3 linked regions of the Lepisosteus oculatus genome follow. The protein of the gene in region 1 binds, or shares a complex with, the protein of each later gene. Links are inferred from orthologs where the notes say so. Each region holds a gene or a part of one and is shown in the gene's direction. Other genes may lie near its edges.

Evidence for each region. The genes of interacting proteins can lie anywhere in the genome.
Region 2: med13a (region 1) and med7 share a complex: the UniProt entries of both Homo sapiens proteins name them as parts of the mediator complex. The link is inferred for Lepisosteus oculatus from reciprocal best matches to the Homo sapiens genes MED13 and MED7.
Region 3: the proteins of med13a (region 1) and ccnc are in contact, whole or in part, in a cryo-EM structure (PDB 8TQC), measured with the Homo sapiens proteins. The link is inferred for Lepisosteus oculatus from reciprocal best matches to the Homo sapiens genes MED13 and CCNC. Residues at the interface, in NP_005112.2 of Homo sapiens: Tyr1342, Ser1630, His1631, Val1732, Lys1733, Thr1734, Thr1736, Phe1738, Gly1739, Pro1740, Gly1741, Ala1743, Arg1897, Met1898, Ile1901, Asp1905; in NP_005181.2 of Homo sapiens: Gln7, Gln13, Trp14, Leu16, Gln19, Lys23, Gln26, Lys27, Arg75, Tyr76, Glu144, Leu145, Asp147, Cys148, Ser221.

The regions. Positions count from the first base shown.
Region 1 is NC_090721.1:4,737,724-4,744,997, reverse strand, and holds the start of med13a (mediator of RNA polymerase II transcription subunit 13a), read left to right. Parts: upstream 1-4,263; 5' UTR 4,264-4,985; coding exon 4,986-5,051; intron 5,052-6,236; exon of another isoform or gene 6,237-6,621; intron 6,622-6,825; exon of another isoform or gene 6,826-7,274. UniProt on the Homo sapiens protein: Component of the Mediator complex, a coactivator involved in the regulated transcription of nearly all RNA polymerase II-dependent genes.
Region 2 is NC_090706.1:30,433,499-30,441,015, reverse strand, and holds med7 (mediator of RNA polymerase II transcription subunit 7), read left to right. Parts: upstream 1-4,509; 5' UTR 4,510-4,665; intron 4,666-5,580; 5' UTR 5,581-5,588; coding exon 5,589-6,287; 3' UTR 6,288-7,324; downstream 7,325-7,517. Other genes in the region: itk (tyrosine-protein kinase ITK/TSK), read right to left, coding at 1,603-1,740. UniProt on the Homo sapiens protein: Component of the Mediator complex, a coactivator involved in the regulated transcription of nearly all RNA polymerase II-dependent genes.
Region 3 is NC_090697.1:31,786,197-31,793,695, forward strand, and holds the start of ccnc (cyclin-C), read left to right. Parts: upstream 1-4,491; 5' UTR 4,492-4,639; coding exon 4,640-4,671; intron 4,672-7,301; coding exon 7,302-7,408; intron 7,409-7,499. UniProt on the Homo sapiens protein: Component of the Mediator complex, a coactivator involved in regulated gene transcription of nearly all RNA polymerase II-dependent genes.

The DNA.
Region 1 (7,274 bases):
ACGAGTTGTGTAAGCAGTACTCACGAGTTGTGTAAGCGGAAAACACTACAAATCCAGCTGCCTGTCAAATGCAAAGCCACCAGTACATTGAACACACTCAGTCATCAGGATTTTCAGAAATTGGATTTATTGTGTCTCCACTGCGTTTGAGGGTTGGTTGCCAAGTGGCATCATCTGTCAGACAGCAGCATGGAGTAGTGGATAAGGCCCTGCGTGCTAGGCTACAGGTGCGCGGGTTCAAATCCTGGAGGAAACATAGCTGCTGTACTCTTGAGCAATGTACTTTAGTCCGATTGCACCAGTACATGCCCTGCAGTATAAGTGGTTCTCCAGGTCATCATTGTACATGAAAATTTAATCTCAGCTGACTGACTTGTTTAGATCAAGTATTAAATTACAAGAATAAGATAAGGTGCGGGCTTGAATAGAATAGGAAATGTTCCTAAAGGGACCCTCAGCTGTTAGTTCATGGTGCCTACTGCATACCTCTTCCATTTGTTTTTGAGAAGCCTTGTCTGGCACTTTAAAATGCGCAATGCTTTTTTATGTTCTCTACCTCTGTTCCTCTCACCATCTGTCCTTCTTTTGCTCTCTTGCTTTCTCCTTTGTAGGTGTTTCTAATCTATGAGCACATGTAGTGATAACAGAACCATCCTGCTGCTTGCACGATCCACGCTGCTTATGTACGTACAGGATTCGAAATGTATACATACTGTACATACGTTACAATCCAAATAGTTCCGTGTTGTCTTTTTCCTGAAAGAAGCCTGAGCTCTGAAGTTAAACATCTCTGTCACTTTTATTTTGCAAACCACTCAGAACATTTGTTTGAAACATCGAAGCTGGTTTATGATTTTTTTTAGACATTTTCTATAGTCCTGTAATATCAGAGAAGTGAAATGTGGTGATCGAGGTGAAAACTGCAATGAGAGATCTTTCGAGTATTGTGACAGTTTGAGTGTTGATTCATCAGAATTCGTAACTGCAGATGTTGGGAAGCACACCTCAGAAATATCACAAACTGACATCAGCCATGATCTTTGTTATTGAAATTAACAAGTTGTAGATTTTGCAAGAGGAGGACAATAGCAAAGCCATGTCCTTTTTAATGCAGTTTATCTAGTCGTAAAAAAAAAATCTCTCATCTCATTTTTACATCTTCTCTGTGGTGTTGCACAATACAGATCTATTTTATGAGGGGAACACATTTAGAGAACGCCTAAAAGGGTTCTACAAAATTCTTTACACTTTTATAGCGCTTTTCTGGACACTCCACTCAAAGTGCTTTACAGGTAATGGGGATCCCCTCCACCACCACCAGTGTGCAGCCCCCACCTGGATGATGCAACAGCAGCCATAGTGCGCCAGAAAGCTCCCCACACACCAGCTATCAGTGGGGAGGAGAGCAGAGTGATGCAGCCAGTTCATAGACAAAAACACATTTATCCTGCTAACTTTTAAAATTCACTTAGAAGAATCAGTTTCTAATCAAGATTATTGATGATGTTAAACATGGGATGACATGCTATTTCCTGCATGTGCATAACCAGCTGTCCTCTACATTACAAAAGTTACAAACGAGAGGAGGCTATTTGGCCCATCAATGCTATGTGGTAGTTATAGCTAATTTTACCGGGGATCTCATCCAGGTATTTCTTAAAAGAAGCCAGTATTCCTGCTTCAGCAACTTAATTGAGTAGCTTGTTCCGTACTCCCACACCCCTTAGTGTAAAGAGAAGAGCCTCCTGTGCTCATATTTAAACGGACGTCCATGTAACTTCCTGATGTGATCTCTAATAAGAACATAAAAACTAAATATCTGAGCAATCCGGTGAAGTTGATATATGAATGTGATAACTCAAATGGAAATTTCAGAAAACACGCTGTATATACAACACTTTTCATTGGGAACAAATATGTGCTGCATATAGACAAAGTTAGATCAGGGAGAGGTGCTGGTGTGTGGCTCCAATGGAAGTTAAATTAAGGAGAAATAAAAAGAGCGAAAAACACACTGTTCTAACTGTGAAGCCCTTTAGAGGTGTGTGAAAGCTCCACACTTGAAATGTTGTGTATTTCATCTTTTCTACTGTTCAGAATTATGGAATTAACCTTGACCTGTTCCTATATGGTGTGGAGCTGTCTATATACAGTAATGTTGATGACCTTGACCTGTTGCAAGGAATAACAATGAACAGGCTGAAGAAGAGCCTCGTTCTGTGCTCTGTGTCGTCAATGACCTGATGTATGTGATGGCCTCAGTATTAACTCTACAAAGTGATTCGCAACAGGACTATTATACGCAAAAACAATTCAACACTGAAATCACAACAGTAGTCAATACTCAACTCTTCCACTCTGCTGAGCACTAAACCGCTTGAAAAACCTAGTAATGTAGCCTCAGCAGAAATCACTGCTTTCTGGAACATAGGGTCATAAGCGTATTACCTTGCATACAATGAGTATAGGTGTGATTTTACTATATTTTACTAAGGTTTTATAGATTAATTCAAACAATAATACACTACAATGACAAAGCAACATGGAACATACACAAACACAGATGTACCTAGTAGCTCGGCCTTGTACATAGTGTCAAGCTAGGTGCGAGCTGTCATAAAGAAAACTAATACACAAAACGACTGCCGATTCCAAGACAGTGTTGCTCTCCGCTCATTTAAGAATAAAACAAATACTGCATCTTTTTGTACAATATTTTGCAGTATTTCCTTTGTGAGCCGATACAAGGTCACGTACATTCTTCTTCGTTCGGGTGGTGCTGTGAAAACTAGCCAAGCCGAACATTTATTTTGACGTTTCTTGTGTTTTTCAACTTGACCCGCAGAAATGGTCTGGCTGCCTGCTGCACTTCTCGTTAATGAATTACATTCTATAACCCCGGTAACCTATCAAGCATGGCATTGCATGATAACTTACTTAATCACAGATAATGGGAAATACACGTGGAACAAAAAAAAAAAGATGGCAGCCAGACTACGAGCGTTAAGAACAGCACCATCAGCTCGCGAGCCTGGTGGGGCTGCTCAGAGTATTGTTTCACAGCCAGGATACAGACACCAAACCGGTTCTCAGGCCTGGCTTGTGGTTAAACAGGGTGAACACCAGCTTCTTTGCGAAATTCCCTGCTTCTCTATTGATCAGCCGAAGCTGAATTACCTGCAGACCTCGCTGACCTGGACTTCCAGCAGCACAGACAGGAGACAATCAGCTTATCTCGGCGGCGTCTTGTAAGGTTATTGTTCGGAATAAGAATGGCAGCACTACAGCTACACCGTCAACAACAGCACCAATAAATAATGAATTGGGGTGTCAAGCAGCAGTCTTCGAAGCCAGGGTCTACTGGATTTCATTCTGTTTCAAGTTCTTTGCATTTATTTTCTCCCGTGGGCATGTTCACAGGTTTTTTTTTTACAGTCATTTACAGCAGATGATTTAAACACTGCTCTCGAGGCAAGAAGCAACATCTCAGAAACACTCTGAATCCTGGAGAGAGTTGTGTGCGTTTGGTTAGTCAATAATGTTTGGCCCCGACAGGTCTCTGGGACCCCAGGGCGAACTGGAAACCAGATTTCTTGTATACAGGTTCTGGTACCAGACACATAATGAAACACAGTAACCTGAGGTAGAGCCATGCTTCGGTTTTTCCCCGGGAAGGGGGGGTGTAAAAAAAGTAGTTTATTGCAGTCCATTTGATGTTAGGAAGAGCCTAGTATTTCATCACCACAACTGAAATAAACAAAAGCAACCAAATGCATTATAACAACAACAACAACAACAATCAAAATAATAATAATTATTATTATGATTATGATTATTATTAGTTCAAGTAGATGGTTGTGTCAGCATGCATAGGTTGCAAAGGAACGAGTAAACGTTTACTCCATGCTGAAAAGAGAAGAAAAGAAGGCTCCCGAAGAAGACTGCACAGCCGAAACGTTGTGTTTCTTTTTTCTCTTTTCAGCATTCTTCTTCTTCTTATTATTATTATCATTATTGGCGTCTCACCCCTGACGCCTGTCAGAGCCCCCCCCCCTCCTAGCAGCTGCGAATGAACCGATTTTTATTTTACTACCAAAAACAACAATAACACACACACACACGCACGCACACGGGGTACCCAGGTATATAAATAACTGCGGCAGTGCGCCGTCGGCGCGCTAGGGGGCGCAGCGCCCGGGACGGCGAGCTGAGGGGGTCCAGACCGGTGGCTCAGCAGCGCCTAGCGGCCGGGCCCGTCACTTCCAGTCCTCTTCCAGCCCGCATGACCACGAGCCAGCCAATCGGCGCCGGGAGGCAGAGTTGTCCCTGTGGCCGCCATTAAAGAAAGGAATCCGTGAATTCAAATGGAAACCAGCAGGAACAGAGACCGAAATAATGGTTAAAACGACCGAAAAAATATAGTCCTCCACCAGCCTTCGATCGTCTTTTACAAGATGTTTTTCATTTTTAAACCGAATCCGGCGACGATGGAGGAATAGAGGGGCGATTTTTTTTTTAACCCAGACCGTTTTAACCAAAGGGGGAGGGGGAGAGTTGGGTTTTTTTTTTTGTTTTAAGAGCGTTTTCGTGCTTTTTTTTTCCCCGTTTTTTTTTTTTAAAAAAAAGAAAACGACCGAGCCTCACTCAAGGAGCGTCTCTTTTTTTTTTTATATCAGGCGGACGATGCGGAGGTGGCGGTGCTGTTTTTAATTTACGGCGGATTATTTTTGGGAAGGGGGAGAGAGAGAGAGAGTGCTGACGGAGGAGAGAATCTAAATGAGCTGTTGAATTACATTCCCCCGGCCGATTGTTTAAAACCATCCTCGGCGTGAGGTGTTTTTTAACGGGGGGTTTTTTTTTTTAAATAAAAAAAAAATCCACGCGCGTACAAAAAAAAAAACCCCAACAAAAAAAAAAAGAAGAAAAATTGTTCTTTCTTTCTTGGGAACTTGAAACGATGGAGTGGTCGATCTCGATGTGAAAGGATGAGTTCTTGCTTTGTACCAAACGGAGCGAGCCTGGAAGACTGCCATTCCAACCTATTCTGTCTGGTAAGAGATTTAAAACTAAAAGCAGCCATTTTTAACTAGCTGAGGGGAGAGAAAAAAAGAGCACAGTAGCGGGGAGCGCAGGCTTGGGGGCCCTGTCGAGCACTGCAATCCAAACACCGCTGATCAATCCCTCTGTTGCATTTGCATACTGCCGAAGTTTAAGGCCGGATTAAAACGGCATTTTGCGGGGGGCTGCGCGGCGTGGCGCGGTGTCGGCTCTCCCTCCGGGCCGTGGATGTGGTCTCGGCTGGCCGCCGGTGCAGATGAGGTTTGAGCGCTGCCGGCCAAAACATTTGATCACGGCTGTCTAGTAAACAGGCAGGTTTACTCAGGTCGTGCAAAGTTTCCTCTCCCCTATCTCTTCTGTCTCTGTGGCGTTTAAATCCCCCCCTCCCCTCCAACACACACACTCATACACACTCCAGTTATTTTCCTCCCCTGGCTTGGTTTTTATTTTCTTTTCCCCTCCCAAAAAGAAATGTGTTTCCGTGCGTTTGATCCGAGACCTTTCTGGTGCGCCGGTCCTGTATTTAGGAGTTACGAAGGTCCAAACTCTTCTGGGCGAAGTGTTTTGGTCGCGGCCGGGCCGTTTTGTGGAAATTAAATGCGCTGGGTCTCGTCGGGGGGCTTATCCACCCCCCCCATCAACTGGAGGGGAAGCTCGCCGGCCCGGTGGGGTTGTTTTGCGGGGTGCTGCGTCGGGAGATTATTTCTGATTTTTAGCCGTTAGTTTTGGTTTCATTTCTATTGGCAGGGAGGCTTGTTCGTTGCCGAGCAGACTTGTCATTTTTCGTTGTTTACAGCCTTCCCGGGGGTGTATAACTGGCATCTCCGGGTTGAGGGTGCCCTCGGCCCCTGATGCCCTATATTGGCCTGGAGGCTGTGAACTTGGGCTCGTTAGGGCACGACAACGACAACAACAACGGGGGGTTGAAGTTGTTTTAAAAAACAATTATGGAAGTAGCTGCGTACAGGTCTTTTAACTTTTTTTTTTTTTGCTCTCTTCCGTGCGCATACCTGGGTTTGTGGTCCGAGTCGAGCAGTGTGGGACGAGTTACGCAACTCGTCTTGCTGCTGTGGCAATGCATGGTCCTGTCCCAGATAAGACATTTACACCGCTTCATTCTGGGGGCTTGGGGGTCACGCCTCGGGTACGGATACGGGCTTTTAGAGACGTTTGGAGGCTTTTGAGTTTCGGTTTCTAGTTTATTATGTAAGAGGGTTTTGTTTTGTTTTTTTTGTGTGTGGCGTTTTCCGTATTCCAAGATGCCCAAAGCCGACGAGATGGGGGCGATCTAAGTGTCAGAAAGTGCAAGGCAGGAAAGTTTTTTTTTTTGTTGAAGTGCCTCTGGGAACTGTTGTTTTTCCTCGATCCCGCTTGATAGCTCATTAAACTGCATGGTTGAGATTCTCGGCTGTCCCCTTGGACGTTGCTTCGTGGTGGCCCCCCGCCGAGGGGTGGCTTTTTCCTCCTCACATGCCCTGCGTGTGATTGTGGCCCGTGCAGTTCTCGTGTGCGAAGATCACGCGTGACAGCGGGAGCCAAAAGCGAAGGAGCTTTTTTTTTTTCCTAAAAAAAAAAAAATCAGATCTAATTAGGAGGCATTTTCAATCAGGAGAGTGGTAAGGGATTGAGCCGGTACCAAATGTGCGTCTGAAGTATGAGTGATGGAGTGGTTTGGGGGTGCCAGTGGGGGTGTATGTGTTGTAAATGCGTGGAAGGGGTGTTGGATATTGATTATCCTCCCCCCCCCCCACACACACACACACATACCGGTGGTGTCCTGATTCAGCACAGGGGGAGGAGGGAAAAAAAAAGTTTCAGTTCGGGGGAGGAGGAGGTGACGTGCCAAGATATTGAACCGCAGCTGAAGGGAGGAAAAAAAAAAATGTCACAATAAAATAGACGCCGGGGCAGGTTTACTCGATATGAATCACTGGGCGAGATGTGTGTGGCGTCTGCCGTCGCGATGAGGCTGGAGGAAGAGCCGCGGTCGAGTCGTCGGCAATTGGCCCGCCGGTGGGTAATGGCCTGTCCCATTGAGCCCATCTACTCTGAAGGGCGTCCGTCGTCGCACACGCAAGCGGGACGGCTCGGAAAATTGCAGGAGCCGGGGAAGACATTTTAATGGGAGCGGGAGGCCGGCCGTGACAGCGCTGTTTACAGCTGTCAGGAGCCGTGAGTCACCCCGGCGCTGGCGGTAGCGGTAGCGGTTTGGACCA
Region 2 (7,517 bases), on another chromosome or scaffold:
AAAAAAATACAGAAAAATATCTGCTGTTCACGTGCAATTGCTTACTCTTTATTATATGATTATATTAGTATGACTATAACATTATATCCATATTACAATACATACAAAAAATGCACTCTCAAATCTATTTTAAAAGTTGAACTGTGGAATTTACACAAATATATATATATATTGGGAAAAGGACATTCAACTTTGAAATATAAATTTAACAACCTCGTATGAATTAGACCTGCAAAATAAGGCAAGAAGATTAATACAATTTATCGATGTCTGAAACAACCATTCTCTAGCAATGATGTTAGAGTTCACTTGTTTATTACTTTTAAATGGATAAAAGCAAAGCTATAGCTTGTTTTGTAAAAATCAGTTAAACATGAGTCGACAAATAAGACAGACTAATTTGATTCCACCTGGGGTGTGGATCATGATATTGCTACTACACAAAACACTAATCAAAGTACAAAGACAAATAAACAAGAACTTCAACATGTAGCCTGTTCAGCTGTAACTTTGAAGATTAAAGGCAGGGAGGGCTATGTTTTTATCTGAAGGTTTCCATGTTGGCCAACAACAATTCCCATATTTAACAAAACAACTGAATTAAATATATGCTAAAACTCCCAACATTGTGTAAAACCAAAAATGTATTTCAGGCTTACAAATCTTGTAATATTGCTCTTAAAATACACATAAAAAGGAGCAACTGAGGTCCAAGGCAAGTACAATACAACTAACTCCCCATAAGAATTGCCTCAAACGAACAGAAAACAGACATGTTGATTCAATAAATTTAAACACAAAATACTACATAAAAATGACATCAAACTCACAGGCGGAGGAATAATTGTAAATTATGAATGTTGTGTCTGTATTAGATATTTACCACGATGGAATTGTTTGGGAATATACTGTACTGTATACTGTAAAAACTTTGTTTTAAGTTATTTAATGTGATACTGTTTTAACATAGTCTTACATATGCTTATCCAATTATTTTAGTTCTAAAACTAGCCTTTCATGGATATTAGTAGATGTGCATCTTTTTATTTAATTTTTGGGGGTGGATGTAACGCATATATCAAACGTAATTTTAAAAATTGAACTGTATGTAGTAATACATTTACGTAGACCATCATAGCTGTTTACTACATGTTGACATCCATAAGATATTAATCCTTGAAACTCACAGTGCCTGAAATGGCAAATTATTAATTTTATGCTTTACTAAAAAATAAAATCCTTTTGACATTTTGAAATGTTTGTGCATTATACGCTGCAATAACACAGAACCAAAAGAAACCCGTTTTAACTCACGCCGCTATATCAATGATCTAACTGCATTACTGGATGCCACAGGCGATGGTTTCAGGATAAATTAAAGCAGAAGACTATGAAGTTTGGCGTAACTCTAATTGCTGTTTTATTTATTTTTTCCAAGATAACCGCGGTTGTGGAACTACATCGCGCTAAACAGTGCTGAAGACATATCGTGCTCGTTTCAGGTGCCTCTCTTGGAAGCATTAGGTTCTTGTATAAAATACACTTGTATTACAGTAATTCTACTTTTATCATTGAAAGTAAGAGTGAAATGACGTTACGTACCCCAGGGCGATGTTCGAAGTAAGCCAGTTCATCTTTACTTAAAACGAAATATCTTTGTTTGTAATTGCAAGGTGAGGTTCTTCGTTTCTGCTGGGATTTCTTGAAAAGAAACTCTTCTAAAATGATTTGTCTATTCATCCTAAAGAAAATGATCCTTCATGGAGAAACCTTTTACTAGAGTCGAAAGAGAAGAACCGAGACAGTGTACTGTTAGTTTGGTATGGTGCTTACACAATAAAAAAAATGCAATGCACTATCTTCACAACAATCAAGAAGTATATGAGGTACTTAGTTTCCGGCAAGGCAGCAGGCAAAACCACTTCCTTCTGAATTCTGTTCGTAAATTAAAATCTTTCCAGAAATAAACCGAGTTTTTAAATGTATATATACATTTACAAATCCAAATATACACGTACAGAACTAGAGTTTATACAATTTTTGGGAGTGGAACTGAAAGCTGTAACATATGAATACATTTGTCACTTTAAATTATATCCGTGCTACGTACAGTAGTGACAGTACAGACATCTTAAATTATAAATAATCCCTTGGATTATGAGTCATCTGTCCACCCACTGATTTGCATCACACAATTATGTATCCCACGAATATTTAAACACATTTAATGATATAAATAGGTAAAAAAATAAATAAAACGGGGATAATAAATTATGTTTTTAAAATGAAATCTCCTCGCGTATACTTTTTGTCTTCCCACAAATGAACTGAAGACGTGTTTTGTTTCTTATATTTCACAAATTAAGAAAAGGTTAGCATTTTTTTTTTACTTTATGAACACTAAAGAGTTTACACAGACAAAATGAAAAAAAAAATCTACAAATTAACCACTTCCCAGGTAATGTGAAAGTCAACATTTGTACTCCTGGTTCGTCAGACTCAAAAGCATCAAATCAGTTATCTGAATCTATAACCATGTCTTGAAGATGTGGCTCTCTTGCCAAAGTGCATTGGGCTTGTTTTAAATAAGTATATCAGCGTTGGGCTTAACTCTTTAATATTGTAATTCTGGCATGTTCCCATTTAGGCTCAGAAAAAAAAGAGGCGAGGGACTTACTCTTTAGCTCTCTTATTGGCATACTGTAAGTATAAGATAGCTTCTCTACCAAGAAGAAGTCTGCAGCAGAGCAACAGCTCTCACTTACCCAGTCTCAACCTTGATGGTCTCTCCTCCAATTGGATTCCCTCTTCCAGACTCACACACGGTCTTATAAAACACATTGACATGCATACAGAACTGATCAAGTCGACATAAATGCATTAAAAGTTACTGAACAAGAATCAGTCCATGGAATCTTCCTGTAGGTACTTAGTTATATCATCTCTCTAGATCCTGACTCTAGAGCCAAGCCAGGTTTTTCCCAGTTTGCAGGTTCCCTGCTTCATTAGTCCCGCTGTTGAGATAGCCATCCCCCTGCTGGCAATCAGTTGGATTAGAGGTCTTGGTGCATAACTGCTACAACCAGGATACAGAAGTGGTTGGTGGCAGGTGTTGCACGTGGTCTGCTGGACCTAGAAGTCCTATAAGCTGGAGTCCAGCTGTTGACCCCTGCTCTTGGTGGAGGAGCCAATGTCCATATAACAGGGATCTTAGCTGCCCAGGTTTGGGGGAAGTCTCCTTTAGCTCAGCTGGCAAGTTCCCTTTAGTGTGACACCAGAGACACGGGTTCGCGCCCAGGCAGTGAGGGACCAACTGGCAGGTCAGGAGCGGCTAGGGCGGAGACCCCAAGAACCCCACACCTCATAAGGCAACACATCCCAGAACTCTCCATAAACCACACTGGACAGCTGTTCAGTGTGGGTCCCTCCCAGAATGCCACAAACACGGGCTATTGCCCCTCCTTCCTGCTTCCTGTGAAGCAGTACACCTAGACCTGCTCACAAAGAGTAGAGTTCTGGCCCCCATGATTAGATAAATAGAGGAGTTTCTTTGCCATATGTACGTGTACTTTGGGATTCTTACTTCAGTTCTCTTAGGACATGCACAGTGCAACCGACAACACCACACAATGTGGACAGTACATTACAAAACAGTAAATAATAAGCAGTGAAAGCATGTCCAGACAATAAATAAATTATACTGTTTCTGTTTCACCCAGTCCTGAGACAAGTTCACAAACTCTCAAAGTTGAATGTCCACGTTTTGGTAGCCCCCCAAACACCAGATCCACTGGGATGTGCAGCTCCTATAAGAAAATCATAAATGGAACCCTGAATTACATAGTTCAAACAGCAACATGCAGAACTGACACAGACCTTGACCCAGTTGTGGTCGAGAGAGCTTAAACAAGCAAGACTCAGTGATATGGTCCAGCACATTTGTCCGAAGAAGTGGGTTTGATTTTTCTTTTCATGTAGGGTTTGTCAGATCGTGGCACTAGTCTACACAGAAGACAATTTCGAATAGTTTTTTTTTTTCGGAAACCAGTGTCGGAATAACCAGGTTCTTTCCAAGGGTGGTTAAACTCAGTTATTCAGTTCCTTCATAGGACCGCTTCTCCTATGAAACCCTGCACTGTGTATTTTTCTCGGGGTGGAGGGTGATATCAATTTATAATTTAATTAGTAAAGACAGCACTTCTAAACTGAAACCCACGCTTGGGCCAGGCTGAAAAGCAGTAGAATAAACTTCCATTTTTATTTTATCAATTTTTTTAGACATTTCATATAATTAGTTGTCAATTTAAATACATTCCCTTCCGATCGCAAACTATTAGTAAAGTATTGCAAACTATTACCCTACTATTACTTCTCCGCCTACGCCCGCGAGAGGGAGGTACTCTCGTAGCCAATCGGATTTTACGTTATTAAACGCGTTACGTCCAATAGACTTTGCTGATGAATCTGGAGAGACTGGAAAAGCCAATGAGATCCAAAGAGGATCGAGACGGCTTCCAGCCAATGGCGCCTGGGCTTCCCCTGTTGTGCAGGAAGAGAACCGAGCGTTGTTGAGAGAATGCTAGATGTCTTCATCTAATATATTCAAGGGATTCAATACCCATTTGTGAATGCTTCAGAAATAGAAAATTATAAAGTCGACGAACGGTAGGTAGGAGTTTACCCTGCGTTTTTGTAAAAAGTGACATATGTACAGGTAGTGTGGGTGAATGGAGCGTGTCCCACTGAATAGCAGTCATATCAACAGCACCAGCACAGTCCCTGTTTTACTTTTGTAAACTGTTCGCTGTAAATACATTTCATTTTTAAATTTGGCACATTGGTGTCTTCGTGGTCCATACGGCTAGTTGTAATGTTTATAAGGTACATTTAACAAAAATATGCGATGTTGTAAGCCCCTTGTTTTCGTGAGCGCTACACAACGAATGTGGTGTACAGTGTGTCCTTATCCTGCAAGATGCTTTTGGATTGGTCTCGAAGATTAATATTTTGATGCAGGCATGTCTTATTTGGCAAGTGTTGTAACTTCAAATATTTTCAACGTAGTATAAACAAAAGTAAATGCTACATTCTGCGGGTTTTTTTAGATCGTCCGGGACTTAAATATAACCTAAAAAAAAATTGTTGTAGATAGATGGTCAGAGCCGATTGCTGAAACATTTTTCTCATCATTTTATTGTCAATATGAACTGATTATTCGTTAAAATAATCACACGCCCAATACTCATACATTGGAGTTTTACTTTACCATACGTTTGGGTTTAATGTTATGGAGTACATTTATGCTATTGGCAACTGTTGATCAGAAAGTGTTAATTTTTCTCCATCTTTATTAGGTTTGTGCAACAACTTTGCACATACGTTTATGTTTAGTTGCATTTTCCATGAGCATTGTGTGTTTTTTATTCCAAAACAGCTTTTTACACTGTATTTTGTCTTAAAGCAAGTTATTTCAGAACCGATCTGCATAACAACGTGGTAAACTAGTGCTGTTTAGCAACACGAGAATGAGTTATGTAGTTGCATAGCAGAGTTTTAAAAAAAAAGCTGCTGTCTCCACAGGTTCCACCATGGGCGAGCCACAGCAGGTCAGTGCCCTCCCCCCGCCACCCATGCAGTACATAAAGGAGTATACGGACGAAAATGTCCGGAAGGCCCTCGCCCCCAAGCCCCCGCCGCCCATCAAGGACACCTACATGATGTTCGGCAACCAGTTCCAGTGCGACGACCTCATCATCCGCCCCCTGGAAAGCCAGGGCATCGAGCGCCTCCACCCTGTTCAGTTTGACCACAAGAAGGAGCTGAAGAAGCTCAACATGTCCATCCTGGTGAACTTCCTGGACCTCCTGGACATCCTGATCAAGAGCCCCGGCAGCATCAAGCGCGAGGAGAAGCTGGAGGACCTCAAGCTGCTCTTCGTGCACATGCACCACCTGATCAACGAGTACCGGCCGCACCAGGCCCGCGAGACCCTGCGCGTGATGATGGAGGTGCAGAAGCGCCAGCGGCTGGAGACGGCCGAGCGCTTCCAGAAGCACCTGGACCGGGTGGTGGAGGTGATCCAGGGCTGCCTGGCCTCCCTCCCCGACGACCTGCCCCAGCCCGAGGCGGGCACCGGGGGGCACCCCCGGCTGAAATCGGAGCCCATGGACGTGGACGAGGCCGGTGGCGGCTGCATGGTGGGACAGGCGGACAAAGAAAAGGACAAAAGGGACAAAACGTGGGACAAGGATGCGGCCATGTGCAGCATCATTGACGAAATGACATAAACTGACTTTTCCTTGTACTTTCAAATACCACATGGGTGTTTTTTCTCAAAGCAATGCGACACCGCATTGAAGCTGCAACATCAGGAGTTGTGAGAATAAAGATATGATATTGTGTGGCTAAAGGGGCTGTGTACTGTATGCTAAAATGTTGATGTCCTCTTTGGCTGCATGTTGAGAGCAAAAATAAGCAGAAGTCACAAGTGTCTAGGGGATGAACAGTTTGAGTATTGTGTTATCTGAGGCTATGCTGTTGTTCAAGCAGGAAAATATCTCAGGAACCTTTCGGAAATAAAAGTCACACTTTTGAGTGGACATTTCTCTTTTCATTGCGCTGCAAGCTTAAGAAAGGTTTGGTATCCAGTTGACCAAAGCAAGCTTAAGGGGGAACTGCAGTTCCAACTTCCCAGACCGGTTATTAGATCTCTGTAACAAAATAATTGCTGGCACAGAAATAGTTGACAAATTCCAAATCAAGCACAGAACCGTGAACTTTGTGAAATGACTGTGTAATCTCCATTGTTGTCACAAACCCTTGGTCTCGTCACGGGTGAGAGTTCTCGAGAACTGCGTGAATTGTGACGTGGGGTGGCCCTTCCTGGTCACTAGTCCCTGTCATGACTGTACAGTACTGTATGTAATGTGATGTGATTTCCGAGCGAATAAGTGCAGGTTGTGCAGCAGACGTTTCACCCCAGAAACGTTCCAACGTGATCTGCAAGCAGAGTTAGTAAGTAGTATTTGAAAGGAAAACCATCTTGAAGTCGACAGTAATATTTCTATGGGATTACAAGAGATGTTTTCACAAGTCTGCTTGTTTACAATGTGATAAGGCAGCTTCACATCACTGGACGTTTTGATGTCTTGTTCTGAATCGCCGAATATAGTGCTGCACATACCTGGAAATTTTGCCTATTTTGAGATGTAAATTAGAGGTATCACATGTTACTCTGTATATCTTACTTTTATTAAGGTTTGAAATGCACTCTTCTGTGCTTATTCTTTGTAACCACGAAATATAAAAATAGTGTTGCAGTTTGCTTTTAATATCGCAGCCTTTTTATTCCATTTTTTTTAGATTCTCATTTTAAACTTATGCTTTAGCACCTGTTCTAGCACCAATTTTATTTCAGTTTTGCAGGATTAGATGTAGTGTGGTCTCAGACTGATTCAGTCAGTGGAGCTACAGTTATTAATTGTTTTTTTTTTTTCCCCATCGAATTTTCTAAAAAA
Region 3 (7,499 bases), on another chromosome or scaffold:
TATGAATATTTGTCAAAATCATGTGAAGAGTTTAATATCTTAAAAATAGAAGGTTTAGCCAATTAGGCAGCGCTGATCTAATGCTTTTGGATGTGACTGAAGTTTAATTGCATGCAAAGCAGGGCCAGAAGCAAACAGATGAATTCATTACATTAGCGTACAGTGAAATGTGAGGCATTCTTTCCCTGAAGATTTGACATATATGGTCATTAGTGGGCTAGCATTTATGACAGAAAAGGGAAAAGAAAACTGGCGCAGTAAAAGCAAAATTAACTGTTGTAGCAAAAAAATAAATCAGAGCCTGGGATGTCTGGGATTTCTGCATGGAATGATTAAAAGACGTGAGCGGAGACAATTGCAATCTGCCCAGACCTTCTTCTCCATCAGTGGGTTGGGCATCTACGAAGGACTATCCTACAATTGTTTTTTATTTAATTATCATTCTGCAGAGTGGATTAAACAGCTGTCATCACTTTCCATATGTGTAATATTTGGCACAGTAACATTGGAAATCTCTGTATAATTAGAATGATAGCACCAAGAATCTGCTTATCCGTTATGTATTTGACTATTTCTTGCGTCGAAATCATATCATAGTAAAGCTTGAACACTGATAAGTGAAAGACACACATGTGTTCTTACTATCATTCACAGTGCACATTTAATTATCTCAAGACATACAGAAGATGTCTGCAAATGTCTATAAAAGTATTAGCTCTTTTCTTCATCATGTATAATCAGCAAATCATTCAAAACATTATCGAAGCAAAGTAAAAAATAAACATTTTCACGGATAAAAAAACTAAATAGCAACATATTGTATATAATTAAATACATACAGTAATAGCAGTATGCTGTAGGGCATATCAAAGCATACATACAGTATATACATCTATACACATCTGCACATCAAAAGACTGAACCTTATGGAAAACCTAAAAAGACCCTCTGAAGAGAGCAAGCAGCTATGGAAAGTATATCTGGATGAATGTAAGAAAGCATACAAAAGGAGGTCCAGTTAATTTATAGAGATGCTGGTAGACTGTTGATCTGAATTTCAGCTTTGGCTTCTCAAAAACAAGGTCAGCTGGGTAGCTTGTTACACATTCGCATGACTTTTGAAAAGTGTGTCTTGTTGTCAGACATCTTCTTCTTTTTAATTTTTACTTGAGTCCCATTAGAATGAGTTGGTCAAATCCTCAAGGTAAAGATTGCCAGGACCTCTTGTGACCTGTTTTATTTAGCACTAAAGATATTTAGTTCCTCTAAGCTGTCATTGTGTGACATTCCTTCAAGATCAGTAATCTAGACACTATTCCCAGTCCCAAGCTGCAAAGTAATTTTTGTGAGGTGTCCACCAAAGTTGTACGTGGTATTCCAAACAAGATATGTACAGATTTTACAAAAATTCCCTTGATTTAAAATTTACCATCTTAAATCTGACTAACATTTTTTTTCTATTTTTAGCTCAACCTGAGCAGCAAAATGATGAGATTGGTTTTTTTTCATTCAGTAGATTCTTTATGTTATGTGTCCCTCTTCTTTTGTTTTTACTTCAGGTGTATATATTTACGAACTGCATGAAGTAATCCATCTGCCCTCTAATGAAATACCCGAAGGAGTGAAAGCATTTTAGAATTTAATCTGCTGCTTGTAAAGTTACTGCGACTCCTCCTGTTTTGAGTTAGAGGGAAAGCTCTTTTGCCTTTCCTGTAATAGGTCTGGCTGACTTGCCAAGACAATATCTTTCTCTATGCTGTATGTATGTTTTTCACATAGTCAAATAATTATTTATTTGAAACTTGGCAACCTTGAGCATTCACACTGCTTGTTGCTTCTACAATAAAAGATTAATTTTCTGTGCTGTGTAAGACATTCCTCCAAATCCTCAAACATTTTCAAAATCAACCTACCATTTGGTTGATATAACTCTTATAAACATTTGGTTTGTTATATTACGTTAAAAGCACAATCAAGTGTAATACAACACCCTACAATCTAGGTGTGAAAGGGTGGAGAGGCTTATAAAGACACAATAAGACCTAGTGAAACTCCAGGAAACCTTGAAAAAGACAAGTACATTTATGCACTGGGCATGGTAACGTGGTCCTATAGTGTGGTCAGCTTCACTTCCTTTCAGTTCCCAATTAACAGACTATTCATTTTAAAAGAATAAAAAAACGTATCTGTTCATTTTTAAGTTCGAGTTTTGAAGTAATATTTAAACCATTTTAAGTGTGGCCCTATTGTTGCTGGAAATAGACGTTGAATATTAACTGCTTATTGCTCCCAGGGAGATCTACCACAACTCCTACTAGCAGCACAGTGTCAGGAGAGGACGAGCAGTCCCTGTGATTGTTTTAAGCACTCAAGAGATTCTTTCCTCTTATGTCAGCTCTTATACCCATGTGGAAGGTGCAAAGGGCATTGTCTCCCCATAATGTGAATGAATCCGAAATGAGTTTAAACACCAACCTGCAACATCACACAATGTTTTTTCTCTGGTAATCGACGCTCAAAGATTTTGTGAGAATATGATTGTATTGAGGGGCCAGACCTTACAACAGATCCCTATTTTGTTTTTTACAGTGATAAGATTGCTTATTTCTTAATGCTTACGCGTCACATGTGACATATTGTGTCACATGCTAATGAACATGATCTCAACAGAGATGCTATTAAGAGAAATATGATTTGTTAAAAAAGAAAAATATATTTTTCCATATATCAGTACACCATAAAGTAATTTTGAATGTTTATATCTTCTGTATGCTAAACCCAGAACAGTGCTAGATGAACAGTAAACAGATAAATATTTCTCTCTTTAAATTATAATTTGAAATTAGACTTTTCTAATTTAAAGGGCAAGTTTTTTTTAAATATGTCTGGCTGTGTAGCAATTATCCCAGCGTGCAGCAACATTAATCATGCTGATGTTAACGATCACTTACACATATTTAATATGTAGACAAGACATACAGTACAGGTGAAGGTTGTACCCACTAGGAGTACTGAAGAAGTGTGCACCTGATGAGTGCTGAAGCAACTGACAGGTGTTGACAAATCCAATCAGGACTGGGTTCATCTCAACCAACCAGTCAGCCAACATTCATTCATTGATTCATTCATTGATTCATTCATTGATTCAATCAATCAATCAACCAACCAACCAACAAATCAATCAATCAATTTAAGTTTTATATGGTGCCTTTTACTCAAAGTATCTCAAGACACTTGACATATATGTCAGATCTGACATATATAAAGGGTCACACCCTGTGAACCACACTTGTGGCATTGTGAGAGGAATGTGCAAGAACAGCAGATCTCAAGGCTGTGATCTGGAACTCACAGATTTCCACTTCTTTGGTCTCTTAAAGAAGTATCTGTTCAGCAGATGAATTAAACCTAAAGTGGTAGGTTTAACTCTTTTCTCCAGCAGATTCAAGGATTTTCTATCTACTATATGTGTTATAATGGGACACATGCACAGACAGGTTTGGATATTATGTTTACAACATTTTCTGCTGTTTATGCATACATACCTCGGGAACTCTTGCCTTATTTGTTGAAACACCCTCATAGGAATAAATGAATGAATGAATGGAATCATGAAGGACTGCTGGCTGCTATATTTGATTCTGAACCAGGGCACCTTTTTATGAGGAGGGTTTCTCCCTAAATTCTCATGGGTTTCACCAGGTGTTCTGATCTCCTCTAACAGTCCAGGGACATTTCCAGATTAACGGGCATGAGGTGAGATTGTACATAACTATACACAACGATGGACTGACACTTTGTCCGTGGTGTAGCCCCATATTGTACTCTGTTTTTGGTGGTTTGGACTCCAGCTCACCATTAACCATTCATTGTCTGAATGAAGGATGAATTAGTTACTGAAATCAGATGGAAGAGTGATATGTAATCCATCATATGTAATTATCATTGAATAATTCACCTCACAACACCCCACACAAGGTATGTAGGTGATAAGATATAGCTTTATAAAACAGAATGCTATCAATATATGTTTAAATTAATAATAATATTCTCCTATAATGTATTGTATTATCGAAGGTGGAAACAGGACTGCAGGTTTGCAAGCTCACAGAGATGTATTGTCCCTAATATTCAAGTAGTGAGTGACAGTGAGAAAAAGAGAAAATAAATTGATGCAAACAGAATTAAAATTAAACCGGAATTTTGTGGGCACTTTAGGTGTGCTCTTGAGCATGGTACTTTACTGAAATTGTTTCATTAAAATGCATAGCTTGTAAAAATAGATTTAAAGTAAGCCGTTTTGGATAAAAGTTATATCTAGATAAAATATATTTAAAATCTTGTCCAGATTTGGAAAACATATCATTTGGATAATTATACATGCAATACATACGTTTTCATGCGTCTAATAGTCGAGGAATGCAAAGGAGCTTATCACACCGGACCTATTAAGCACAGCACAATGGGTTTTAGAGTAGGAAGGTTTTACATAGTGCACACGAAGTCGGAGTGATTGTGTCGTTGCACGTTAGGAAACCAAACGCCGGAATAATTACTTCGTTATTTTTTTAGGTTATATCCAGGTTTCCTGAAAAGAGAAAAGGAAAATAGTCCAAATTTCTACCTCGTTTTTTAAGTGATGGCAGGAAACTTCTGGCAGAGCTCACATTAGTAAGTCATTTTTGATTAAACAATATTAAACTACGGCGGTCTGTTAAATCTTTCTTTCCTTGGGGCCTAAAAGACCTTCAGTTTCATTAATATTTTTTTATCTGAAACTGGTTTTAGACAAAACGTGTTAAATTCAGGGCGATTTCATGCACTTAACACTTGTTTAATATCGAGATTTTACACTCGCGTTTCCAGTCTAACTATTTATCCTATCTTGTCCGAATAAAGTGTCTGTACTAATGAATTTCGAAATAACTTAGTAATTATTAACCTTCATCAGGCACTAATTCGATATAAAAATATTAATTTTATGGCTTCAGTGTTGTACTATATTTTTCTAAATTCAAAGTAGTTTTAATGATTTTTCTCTTATCCCTTGGTCACCAGTAGTATCTGTAATATCCTATTTTCTTAAACATGCGTGTGGTTTTCTGGCATGTTCTTATATGTGTTCTGCAACTGTTCTATGTATTGTCTTCATTCCTAAGTGAAAAAAATCATTGATAGAAACCCGACAGCACAAGACACAACAGATGTGACGTCATTAAGAGATTACATTTCACGAATAATGCAGAGGCCTAAAACGATTTGTGTCGCCTCAGATAGCTACCTTTTACATACCTAGTCGGTTTCTCTGGGTTTTAGTGTTGCAGAGCACGCAATCCAAGCGTGTATTTTTTATTTGTCCTTCCACAAGGTGTATCTGGCAACCAGCTAATTGTACAGTATATGTGTGTTGTTTCAGCATTTATTTTTCTCCTTTGCACACTGCTTGCTACATTTACTACCTCCCGTCCCTCGCCTTGGATAGAGCCTACTGCAGCATCAGGGTTCCTTTTTCTATGAGTGGTTTTGATCTTTTGATTTAAAATGGCGTGCAGCATGGTGGCACAGTGGTTAGCAATGCTGCCTTGCAGCACTGAAGAGCCCTGGGTCGAGTTTCTGGGCTCCTATCTGCGTGGAGTTTGTGTAATAATTAATTGCTAACCCTTACATAGCGGACACTCCATATCTGGGCACTCCACTCAAAGTGCTTTACAGGTAATGGGGTCTCCCCTCCACCACCACCAATGTGCAGCCCCACCTGGATGATGCGACGGCAGCCATAGTGCGCCAGAATGCTCACCACACATCAGCTATCAGTGGGGAGGAGAGAAGAGTAATGAAGCCAGTTCATAGAGGGGGATTATTAGGAGGCCATGACTGGTAAGAGCCAATGGGAAATTTGGACAGGAGATGGGGGTTACACCCCTACTCTTTTCGAGAAACGCCCTGGGATTTTTAATGACCACAGAGAGTCAGTACCTCGGTTTTTACGTCTTATCTGAAGGATGGCGCCTGTTTACAGTATAGTGTCCCCGTCACTATACTGGGGCATTAGGACCCACTAACACCTCTTCCAGCAGCAACCTTAGTCTTTCCCAGGGGTCTCCCATCCAGGTACTGACCAGGCTCACACCTGCTTAGTGTAACCCTGCGTGTAACAGGGATCTCAGCCTCCCGGGCTGAGGGAGTTCTCCTTTAGCTCAGCCGGCAGGTTCCCTGTTGTGTGGCTCTGGAGACCCGGGTTCGCGCCCAGGCAGTGAGGGAAGAACGGGCAGGACAGGTGTGGCAAGGGCGGAAACCCCAGGAGCCGTCACATTAGCTTCAGTGGGCTGCCGGTTGTGAGTTGCAGGGTGATATGGCTGCTGTCTGTATGTTCTCCCTGTGTTCACATAGGTTTTCTCCCACAGTCCAAAGACATCCTGGCAGGGTAGTTGGCCCTAGCGTGAGTGTGTGTGTGTCCTGCAATGGACAGGTGTACCATCCAGGTTGTATCTCTTTGTGCCCCTTGCTTGCCAGAAGATATGTGGTTGGATTTAACATGGCATAAATGCAAAACAGTTTGCTGAGGGTTTATGTAAAGCACAAAAGTATTTATGCTCTTACCTATCCCATTGTTAAATTGCAAAGTGTTTCTTTCTCTGTATATCACACAGTGCTTTTTAGTTTAGCATAGAGGGCATGGTTTATAGAATTGTTTAAAAAGCAGGGATAAGGGTTTTGGTGATGATGCCAATAGTATGTCTCAGACGACCTTGTTAAAGTGTTCCATGAGGAACAAATGGAACAATCCAGTCCCTAAATAGATAATCTAGTTAATTTTCCTGTAAGTATTACATTGAAAGCTTATCCAGTACCACATTTTTAATGAAGAATTTGTAAATACCTATTATGAAATGAGTTGAATACTTTAGTTGAAAAATTCCAGTGTTATGACCAGTTAACCCACTAACAGTACTTGACTGTGTAAAGGTTTATTCAAATGTCCAGATCCTCAGATAGTTGAAGTCATAGGTTCTCAATCATTTTCGGGCCCTGCATGAAGCACAGGCCCGTGGTGTCAAATTCTCCTGTGTTTGTTTCTGCTGTAGACGTTCTGATACATGTTCTAATCCTGTAAATGGATTGTCATTGGTGGTTTATTTCCAAATTGGTACATAATCAAGCAGTTGAGGAAGAATTTGAAAAATATCAAACCCTTTAAAGGAAAAAAAGCTGGCTATATCAGCTGCGTCTTGTCTTTTTTATGAGCGAGACTGTTAATATACTTATGTTGCCCTTTTTGATTGCCACTTTTTTGTCATTAGTTTGCAGTGGATCCTTGACAAACAGGATTTGATGAAGGAACGCCAGAAGGACTTGAAGTTTCTGACAGAAGAAGAGTATTGGAAACTGCAGATCTTTTTTGCGAATGGTACATTCTGTCAATAAGTTGATAGATGTGAAAGGGACATGATATTGCTGTTTTTCTTTCTGCTTTAATCTTTTTCTATTTGTGCTTCAGC